2 linked regions of the Sus scrofa genome follow. The protein of the gene in region 1 binds, or shares a complex with, the protein of each later gene. Links are inferred from orthologs where the notes say so. Each region holds a gene or a part of one and is shown on either strand. Other genes may lie near its edges.

What was found. Proteins that work in one complex are often made in the same cells at the same time.
Region 2: the proteins of PAK4 (region 1) and FAM212A are in contact, whole or in part, in a crystal structure (PDB 4XBU), measured with the Homo sapiens proteins. The link is inferred for Sus scrofa from reciprocal best matches to the Homo sapiens genes PAK4 and INKA1. Residues at the interface, in NP_001014831.1 of Homo sapiens: Ser331, Gln358, Arg359, Glu361, Leu362, Thr404, Asp440, Lys442, Ser443, Asp444, Phe461, Leu475, Val476, Gly477, Thr478, Pro479, Tyr480, Trp481, Met482, Arg489, Glu507, Glu512, Phe516, Asn517, Glu518, Pro519, Pro520, Met524; in NP_976248.2 of Homo sapiens: Gly178, Arg179, Ser180, Arg181, Gln182, Pro183, Leu184, Val185, Leu186, Gly187, Asp188, Asn189, Cys190.

The regions. Positions count from the first base shown.
Region 1 is NC_010448.4:47,868,097-47,872,967, reverse strand, and holds the start of PAK4 (serine/threonine-protein kinase PAK 4), read right to left. Parts: upstream 3,365-4,871; 5' UTR 3,155-3,364; intron 1-3,154. UniProt on the Homo sapiens protein: Serine/threonine-protein kinase that plays a role in a variety of different signaling pathways including cytoskeleton regulation, cell adhesion turnover, cell migration, growth, proliferation or cell survival.
Region 2 is NC_010455.5:32,328,391-32,333,303, forward strand, and holds FAM212A (PAK4-inhibitor INKA1), read left to right. Parts: upstream 1-1,481; 5' UTR 1,482-2,135; coding exon 2,136-2,186; exon of another isoform or gene 2,187-2,248; intron 2,249-2,929; coding exon 2,930-3,736; 3' UTR 3,737-3,777; downstream 3,778-4,913. Other genes in the region: CDHR4 (cadherin-related family member 4), read right to left, coding at 1-35, 160-344, 700-748; UBA7 (ubiquitin-like modifier-activating enzyme 7), read right to left, coding at 4,031-4,160, 4,631-4,731, 4,807-4,899. UniProt on the Homo sapiens protein: Inhibitor of the serine/threonine-protein kinase PAK4. Acts by binding PAK4 in a substrate-like manner, inhibiting the protein kinase activity.

The DNA.
Region 1 (4,871 bases):
GCGACCCTGGGCAGCCATGAGAACCACGTGCTGGGCAATCTGAGCCAGATCCTCCAGGGCACGCCTGGGCAGCAGTATTTTTGAAAGCTCTCCAGGTGACTGCAATACACGGCCAGGGTTTGGTGCGATAGCTCTGTAGTTGTGAATCCACCCGAAGGTAGTAACAGCAGAGGAAGGCTGGACACCCAATCCAGCCCCTGGGCTACAATCAGCAGAGAAGGTGGGGAGAGAGGGGGCAGAGAAGAGGGGCCTTTAACTGTATCCACTTGGTGCTCCGTCCCAGGTTGGACACTGGAAACGTGGGTGTTTTGCTACAATGAAAGCCCCACTTTTTTCACTGCACTGAAATGTATCACAAGGAAAAAACTGGCAAAGAGAAATCATTTGCCCAAGGTCCCACGGCTGGTAAGTGATGGGGCAGGAACCTGAATGTGTGTGTCCAGGGCCAAAGCCCTATCACCACCCCCTTATCTGTGCTGAGCCCTGAGATGCCGAGTGAGCTGGCACCACCAGGCCCCGAGGCTGGCCGGCCTCATAAGGCTGCCTGGCCATGTGCCCACACAGTGACCCTGCCAGAGCCAGGTGGGGGCAGGGTGGCTGCCGGAGCAAGCCGGGAGGCTGATGGAGAGGCTATGCCACCACCTCTGAGACCCTCCCCAGGGAGCTGTAGCAGCGGCAGCCTCAAGACTAGTGCTAATCCGGAGTTCTGTTGTGGCTTAGCAATAAAGAACCTGACTAGCATCCATGAGGACGCAGGTTCGATCCCTGGCCCTGCTCAGTGGGTTAAGGGTCTGGCATTGCTATGAGCTGTGGTGTGGGTTGCAGACGCAGCTTGGATCCTGCTGGCATACACCAGCAGCTACAGCGCTGATTCGACCTCTAGCCTGGGAACTTCCATATGCCGCAGGTACAGCCATAAAAAGAAAAAAGAAATTAGTGCTTACCCAGTTCCTATTTTGTTCCAGGCCCTAGGCCTAGCGTTTATGCTCTGCACCCTCACAGCAGTTCTACAGGGTAGCCACTATCATTATTCCCATTTTGCAGAGAAGGAAACAGGCCCAGCCTACAGTCACACAGCCTGTAAGTGATGGAGCTGGGTGTGAGCCAGGCACCCTTGCTCCAGCATCCTCTCGAATTACTCCCTAGTACCACCCCAGAGTGCCACACACGGGGCAGCTACTCATCGGCCCCTGCCCAATGCCCCCACCAGGCTGGGCAGCCTAGGGGTCTCACACAGGCCACACGCTGCCCACAAGCCCCCAACTCTGCATCCCTGGCCTCCACTCACACCTTTCCTCCTGCCTGGCCAACGCTTTCCCATCCCCCTACTCGTCCTTCAGAGCTTGCCCAGGGACAGAGTTCTTGGCCCCGGTTGGACATTCTCCGGGTCCCCGGAACATGTCCTCGCAGGTGGCATCACCACTGGTAGAGATGGAGCCATGTATCACAGGCTAGGGGTCTGGGTCCAGTCTGCTCCCACCGAGGGACACTGAGGGCCCTCAGGGGCCAGGGGCTCTGTGTATTTTGTCCACTGCTGCAGACTCAGCACACAGCACCCAGCCCCGTGCCCAACATTCAATCCCCACCGACCAGCATCCTCTGCAGACTCTGCAGACGAGGCAGTGCTTCAGGTGGAAACTCAGGGAAAGGACAACCTGGAGAAATTCCTGCCCTCGAGGGGCCCAGCATCGAGATAGAGAACAATAGCGAGATAAGGAGTGTCTGGGGGCAGGCTGGTCAGGCGCAGGTTCCAGATTAGAGGCAACTGGAAAGTCAAAGACCTGGAGGGAGGCATGAGCCCATGGAGCTGAAGAGCAAACAGGCCGGTGTGCTTGGACCTTGGGGAGGGATGGGGAGAGCAGTAGGAAGTGGGATGGGCGTGCCTGAAGACCATGATGAGAGCCTGGGGTTTTAAATACAGAGAACACCCGACTCTGTCCAGGGTACCGCCCCAGGACCCCCGCCAGAAGCCTGTCAGACTCCCTCGGACTCTGGGCCACCCACAAACACCCCATCCCACAGGCCCAGGGGAGCCTCTCCTCCCAGATCACACCCCTCCATGGAGGCCAAAGAGACAGCCCTGCCCAGCCCAGCCCCCTGCTTCCAGGAACAGACCTTCAGCAAGCTACGATGTGGTGACTAGGGCCAGGAGCTCTGGGGTCATTCAAGATTCAGCTTGGAATCTGCTTCTGTCACTCAGTAGAAACTCTTTGAGCCTCACTTTGTCTGTCTGTAAAGTGGGTCCATCTGGTACCCACTTCACAAGATTATGGTATAAGTCCGGGCACACAGGGCGCTGAGTACAATGTTAACTCTCATTAAGCATCAACCAACATCATGAGAATCTGAGAGCCTGCGGAGCCTACAACTCTGAACCCCGAGTTCAAATCTGAGCTGCACCACTTACTCATGAGAAGACCCTGGGCAAATCACTTAACCTCTTAATAATGGCACCAAGCCCATAAGGTTGTGTTCACGATCAAAGGTAATGTAAAGCATTTAGAACAGAGCCTGACACACAGTAAGTGCTCTAGGAGTGTTTGCTCTTATTTTCATCATCTGTGGGAGGAGGGCTTTCTCCTCTTCCCCTCCCCCGCCCCCCCCCGCCCCCGCAGGAAGCACCCTTGACCTTGTTCTTGAATGTCCTACCCCTCCTCTTCAGCAACACGTCCCACCTGGGTTTTAACTTCTGACCCCTGAGAACATCACCTGTCGGGCCACCAGGTTCTGATCTTTGCCCCCTTTGGTCAGGCCCCACTTTTGATCCCATACAGATGTCCCCCAACCTAAATCTCATTCATTTGCTCCACTAGCTGCTGCCCTAAACCTCCAACTCTCAGACCCTCGCAGGCACATCCTCCCTTCAAATTGACCCCCATTTTTTTAGACATTCGCCCCCCTGCCCCTCCAACACGCTCCTACTTCAAATTTCCAATTTTGCACCCCTTCGCCACGCCCCCTTTGCTACCACGACCTCTGACCTACTCTACACCTCCCCCCTGTTCAACGTAGACCCGCGACCCACCCACGACGCGACCCTTTCCTTCGCGAGTCAACTTTGACCCCAGCGGCCCCGCCCCCTATTCCCGTAAACGCTCTCCCACCGCCATCGCCGGACCCCCCCCACGTCGCCTGGCCAGATCGCTTATCCTACCGGCTCGGCACCGCAGTCGCTCGCGGCCTAGCTGCTCGGCCCGGAACTTGGCGCGCTCACGCCGCCCTCAGCTCTCTTGCGCCGCCGCCACCACGGCCACTGCTGCCGCCATGTTGAATCCCCAACGAACATCCGGGGCTTTCCCCCCTCGCCGCCCACCAGTCCCCATAGCAACGGGGCTGACCGGCCCGGGGCAGGGCCGGCTCAGGGGCGGAGCTGGGTGCCCGGCAGGGTCCGCTCCAGCCTCTGATTGGTGAAGATCGTCCAATCGGAAACCTTAGGGAGGAAAATGCCAAGCCGGGATTGGAAAATTTGGAAAGGGTGCGGGGAGGCTGGCTCCAGCCGGCTGAGATTCTTAAAGGGGAAAATGGTTAGGCGCCTGCAACAGTCCTTCCCACCTTCTCTCAAAAGCAGTCATGGGGGGTAGAAGGCAGGCATGGGTGATTATGGCCAGAAACAGCTTTTGAACTTTTACTATGTGCCAGACACCCCGTCAAGTGCTTTACTTGCATTATCTTGCTGAATACTCGTCACAACCCTGTTATTAATATCCGTTTTACAGATTAAAAACTGAGGTTCAGCGGGGCGAACTAGCTCAGTTGGGATCATAGTCAATAAATAGTGAGTTTGGACGACCTTTGTCTGTCTGAGTCCGGGAACTTGACCTGGAACCAGGACACTGATTGATCTTAATCTTTTTAATAAGTTTTTTCAAAAGTATTTATTTGATTTGTTGGAGTTCCCGTCGTGGCTCAGTGGTTAACGAATCCGATTAGGAACCCTGAGGTTGCGGGTTCGATCTCTGGCCTTGCTCAGTGGGTTAAGTATCTGGCCTTGCTGTGAGCTGTGCTGTAGGTTACAGTTGCTGTTCGGATCCCACGTTGCTGTGACTCTAGTAGGGCGGCATCTACAGCTTCGATTCGACTCCTAGCCTGGGAACCTCCATATGCCGCGGAGGGGCCCTAGAAATGGCAAAAAGACGAAAAAAAAAAAAAAAAAAGAAGTAATTGATTTGTTTAAAAAAAAAAAAAAAAAAAAGGAGGGGGAGGAGGATGGGAAACCCCCGTAAACTAAACATTTTTTTCCTGGATTTCACTCACTGGTCTCCAGCCACTTTGCTAAAAAAAAATCAAGTACTCATCTACCTCAAGGTCATTGCATTGACTATTCCTTTTGTTGGGCATAGACTCTCCCCCCTGGTACCTTCATGGCTCCGTCCCTTCTCTTCTTCAGGGTTTTACTCAAATGTCACCTTATCAGTGGGACTGTTCCTGCCCACCCTGACTAAAGCAGCCAAAGTCCCTCTCACATGCTACTAAACCACTTACCTTCTCTGCTTTTTCTTATTTTTTGTTCCTCTTATCACGTTCTAACAGGCTAGATGATTAGCTAATCATAGTTATTGTTTTTCTCCTGCTGGAATGTCAGCTCCATGAGAGCATGGATTTTTGTCTGTTTTGTTCACTGTGGGCTGCCCATTTGTTGAATGGATGGTTGGATGAGGTGTAAAGCCACTTTTTCAGAGATACTCTTAAATGTTTAGTGCATCTTCCCTGCCCTAGCACAGTGTCTAGCGCATGGTGGGCATTTAATTAACATCTGTAGCAGCAATGAATGAGTGACTGTGTAATGAGGTTTTTTTGTTTTTTTGTTTGTTTGTTTGTTTTGGCCACCCAGTGGCATATGGAGTTCTGGAGTTCCAGGGCCAGGGATCAAA
Region 2 (4,913 bases), on another chromosome or scaffold:
AGGGCATCCAGCCGGGCCATGCTGCTCAAGGTCATCTGCAGCAGGTGGGCAGTGCCATATGGGACCTAGGTTCTCCATTCCCCTATACTACCGCTGGCTTAATGAATTTAGTGTCCACCTTTATTTCCCCAATGTCCCCAGCTGTGCCCGTGACCCTACCTTGCCCACATAGATCCCCTGCCACCTGGTGAGGCTGGGTGGGTTGAAGAAGGTGGTGGGTGGCTTCACATGGAGCAACTCCAGGGTGGGTGTGTGTAAAGAGCAGTTGAAGGAGAAAGAGTGAAGGATGGTGCCAGGTCCCTGGCTCTCAGAGACATTTATGAACCAGGGCAGGCAGTGATGATCTGTGAGGAAGAGACAATTCAGGCTGGAGGCTCTCCATGTTCAAGCAACCATATACACAAGCAGAGTCCTTCCCTTCTGCCTTAGGGCCTAGCCACATCTTGGGGACAAGCAGAAGTCTTTCCTTGTCTCTCACATCTAACCACAAGTCAGATCATTTCACAGACTAGGAGTGAGAACTTGGTTGAAGAAGAAGCAAAGATAAGGAATGAGGGCCAGAGGTTCAGATCTTTGTCCTTTCCTGGCTTCCTTCCCCCAGCCCCTGCCCTCCATGGGAGCTTATCTGAAAGGGGTCAGGACTCCACTGTGGAGTGAGGGAGGTGAGAACTAAAGTCCCCCTACCCACCAGCTCCTCACCAGAGACAACCAGAGCAAGAAGAAGCACCAGGGACCTGAGCAGCACCATAGCGGCCTGAAGATACAGACAGCAGAGGAGACTCCAGAAAGACAGACGTGTTTTTCAGGCCTGCCCCGTTGCCAGGTCAGTTGCTCAAACACAGCTGAGCAGGCGGTACTCCTGGGCCTCCAAGATTCTAGCCCCACCCATCCCTGGTGACTGAGTTCTAGACTCTACAGGCATCAAGAGGTCTGGAAATACCCATTTTTTTCACTGCTCCCAATGAATTCCCCAATTTATTACTACAATTTTGAAACAGACGTGAGAGAAGAATCAAGTTTCAGATGGGGAAACTGAGGCTCAAGGAAGTCTTGGTCACACAGTTCTTGGAGACAGAGTAAGCACAGGACCCAGGAAAACTGGGCCCAGGACCTGCTACCCCATAGCGTCTGAACTCTAGCTTCCCCCCCCATTAGAATATCACCTGCCTATAAAATCTGAGCCCAACCATCAACAAAATCTCTCAAAAGCTGTCTACATTCAACAAACAAAAGGTATCCTTGGCAATAGAAGCAAAAATAGTGGTTACTTTGGGGGACATCAACTGGAGGGGGCAAAAAGTGGCCTCCTGCCCTTACTCTCAGTGTGTATGTGGTGCCAAGCAGAGGGAACGTGAGTGTCGCGGCAGGAAGAGCAGATAACCGCGCGCTGCCCACTAGAGGGCAGCCCCGCCTAGCTTCGTACAGACGCGGGGGCTGGGCCTGGGCTCCGGCTGCTACTCCGTGGGGGCGGTGAGGTTCCGCGCTCCCGGAGTCATCCAAAGGGCCGAACCCCTTCCTGACTTCTAAGGACTGTCGAAGCCAGCCCCATGAACAGATTGAGTGGGTCAGGCCCCAAGTGGGCCACAGCACTGTCGGATGCGACTACTGGGGGCGCTCTAGCCGCGTGAGGGCGCAGCCACGGAACCCGCGCGCTGCAGGGGCCCCTGTGGGAGGGACCGCAATTCTAACCCGGGAAAAATGGAGAAGCTGAGGCTACCTCAGGGAAGCGGCTTGTCCTGAGTCTTGCAACGAATTCGGAGTCAGCTCAACCGCCCAGGACTTCGAGGACTCGGAAGCAGGACACTGCCCAGCTCTCGGCCCCTGTTCAGCCCCTCCCCCCCAGGGCTGTTGCGGAGTGGGTAGTGGGCGTCGGGTTTCCCACCCAGCTGGACCCAGGGGGCGGGGCCACATCAGCCCCGTCCCAGCCCCATTGGCTGCGGCGCCAAGGGGCGGGGCGGGGCTGCCAGATGTTGGGGCGGTGGCTGCTGCTGCGGCGGGAGCTACGGAGAGGGAGGAGCCGCTGAGCCTGGCGGAGGGCAAGGGCTCCGCTGGCCGGCCTTCCCGGCCCTCACCGCACCGCTCCTGCTGGAGTTCGAAGAGCAACTGGCAGGCCTGGCGGGGGCTCCGGCACGGGCATGCACAGCACTCGGCTTGACAGCTTTCTTGGCCAGCTCCGCTGGGAACTGGTGAGGCTTGGGAGCGGGTGTGGCTCGCTAAGACGCTTGTGGGGTGCTCGGCTGCAGTCCGGCTGGAACGACACATGGGTGGGGGGCTGTCCCGAGTGCCCATCCAAGGCAGAATGGGGGCGGGGCGGCGCAGATGGCCCACGTCGGGTTTCAGATGGTTGAGAGCTGCGCTGGGCATCAAGTAACAACCACCCAGCTGGCTGTGCTGTGCGCGGCAGAGGAAGTTGGGGGCGGGGGTGGAGGGAGAAACTTATTTGGGGCGGATGGGGGGGGAGGGCTGCGAGGGACTAAAGTGGTGCCGGTGCTGCTGTGAAAGCTTAATCCAGGCTGGCCTGTACCTCTGTCCTCTGCACCCCACCTGGCACGTGGTCTATCCTCTGAAAGACGTTGCGGGCTTTGGGGAGCCAAATCCCTAAAGAGGCATGGAGTGCCCCCCCCAGCCCTGAGCAGTCCTACTTCCCGATGTAGGCCCACAACACTGCCTCCCGCCCCGATGGCGGGTACCAACTTGCCCAGCTCAGCGTGCTGCAGCCTGCCAGACTGCCACCGGGTCCGCCAATGGAAGCCACATGAGCTTCATGTGCCAGCACCCCATGCCGGCCTTGTGCCCACTAGGGGCCTTGCTGCCTAGGCCTGCAGGCCTATCCAGCTCTCCTAGGCCTTCTGTTTTGGCATAGAACTGGCCAGGCAGGCAGGCATGAGAAGCACTGCCCCTCCGACTTCTGCCCTCTCTTCCTCCACAGCTGTGTGGCCGGGACACAGGCTCATCCCCCATGCCTGGCCCCCTTCCACCACCCCCCAAACCCGATCCAGGCGTGCGGCCCAAGCACCGGCTCAGGGTCTCAGATTCAGATGCCTTGGAAGAGGACTCAGTCTGTGGTGTGGAGGAAGAGGAGGAAGACGCTATGGTGACAGGAGACAGGGGTGCAGCCTTGGGAGGCCCCAGGGAGCATGCCCTGGACTGGGACTCTGGATTCTCAGAGGTGTCAGGCAGCACATGGAGAGAGGAAGAGCTGCCCATACTCCAGCACCCAGCACCCCCAGTATGGCCCCCTCATAGACAGCACCTCTCAGCCAGTAGCATTCCCCTGCCCAGTGGGGCTCCTGTGACCAGTGCACCACCTGCCCACCGACCACGGCCCAAGTCCACCCCAGATGCCTGCCTGGAGCACTGGCAAGGGCTGGAAGCTGAGGACTGGACAGCAGCCCTGCTGAGCCGAGGTCGCAGTCGCCAGCCCCTGGTGCTAGGGGACAATTGCTTTGCTGACTTGGTGCACAACTGGATGGAGCTGCCAGAGGCCTCAGGTGAGGGGGATGATGGGGGTGGGCCACGAGCCCGTGCTCGCCCCCCCCAGTTCCTACTTGGTCTCTCAGAACAGCTGAGGCGCCAGCTGGCCAGGGCACGCCGGGCAGCGCTGGCAGGAAAGCGACTCTCATGCCCACCTCGCCCAGAACCCGAACTGCCTACAGATGTCTCGCGCTTTGCAGCCCTTATGAGTTGCCGCAGTCGCCAGCCTATCATCTGCAATGATGTTGTCAGCTACCTCTGACCCTGCCCTCCAGCCTGGGACAATAAAGGCCTTTCTCTGGACGTCCTGGTTCCATACCCCTGAGGTTCCAGGAGGCAGCCTCAGACCCACAAGGCACAATTCAAGCAAATCTAGAGTCTTTTCCCTCCCAGCAGGGGTCCATGTCATGCCTGTGTCCCACCCCCATGTGCCTGCTCTGTGTTCCATCATCCATCCTGTCCACTTACACCTTCCTTCAACAAGCATTTATTGAGCACCTACTGTGGGCTTGGGACGCAGGGCTTGACAGAGCTGGATAGTGGGGCTGCTGCCTTTTCACAGCTCATAGTGCAAGGGTGGGAAGGCAGTGTCCTCCTCTTCACCCTCAAAGCTGAGCTCCAGTACAAGCACCCGCTGCCCAGGCTCAGGTGCTCGTCCTGTTACCTGCTGCACCAGATCTGTCACCCTGGTGGCAGGAGGAGGAGAGGGGTGGGAGAGAGATGGAATATGTGAGCAGTGGCAGGCAGAGAATGTCCTGGCATGGACTAGAGGGTGCTGATGGGCTATAAGGATCCCAGGCCAGGAGCAGCAGCAGCCCAAGACAGGAAACATCTGAAACTATTTTAGGAGTAGCTGGCGGGGCGGGCAGGAGGCAGGAAGCCGTGAGTCCCTTGGGAGTGGGCTGTGAAAGGGTAGCTGAGCAGGGTGTGGAGGAGCTGGTGGGGCTGGCCAAGCAGGGAGCTCCTAGAGGCCCTTCCTCAGGCTCTTGGCCCCTCACCCCACCCCCAGCCCATTTGTTGGCTCCATTTGGCAAAAGAAAACTTCAGGAACGTGTGAGGGGCCTGAAGGGCTTGGGAAGAGGAAAGCCTACTTGTCCCTCACCTAAAACCTCTAGGGACTGAATGAGACCCTGGCTAAAGCTAGGTGTGGGCTCACCTGAGGGAGAGATGATGGGCCCGCTTTTCAGGCGACCATCCTGCCGAGTAGAGCAGGGCTGGCCCGTGCAGCAGCATCCTCACCCTCAGCTCATGTAGTTCCTAGAAAGAGATAGGTCAGGTTCCAAATGGGCCAGGCTGGGCCAGACCTGGGGACAGGGCAGGAATGGGGCACACCTGGAGATGGGCCAACAATGACTCCAAGGTCCTCATGGGCTGCCCAGCAGGCACTTCCAGGCGGTCCCAACAGGTCCACTTCAGGTCATGGAACTGTGGGAGTGGTA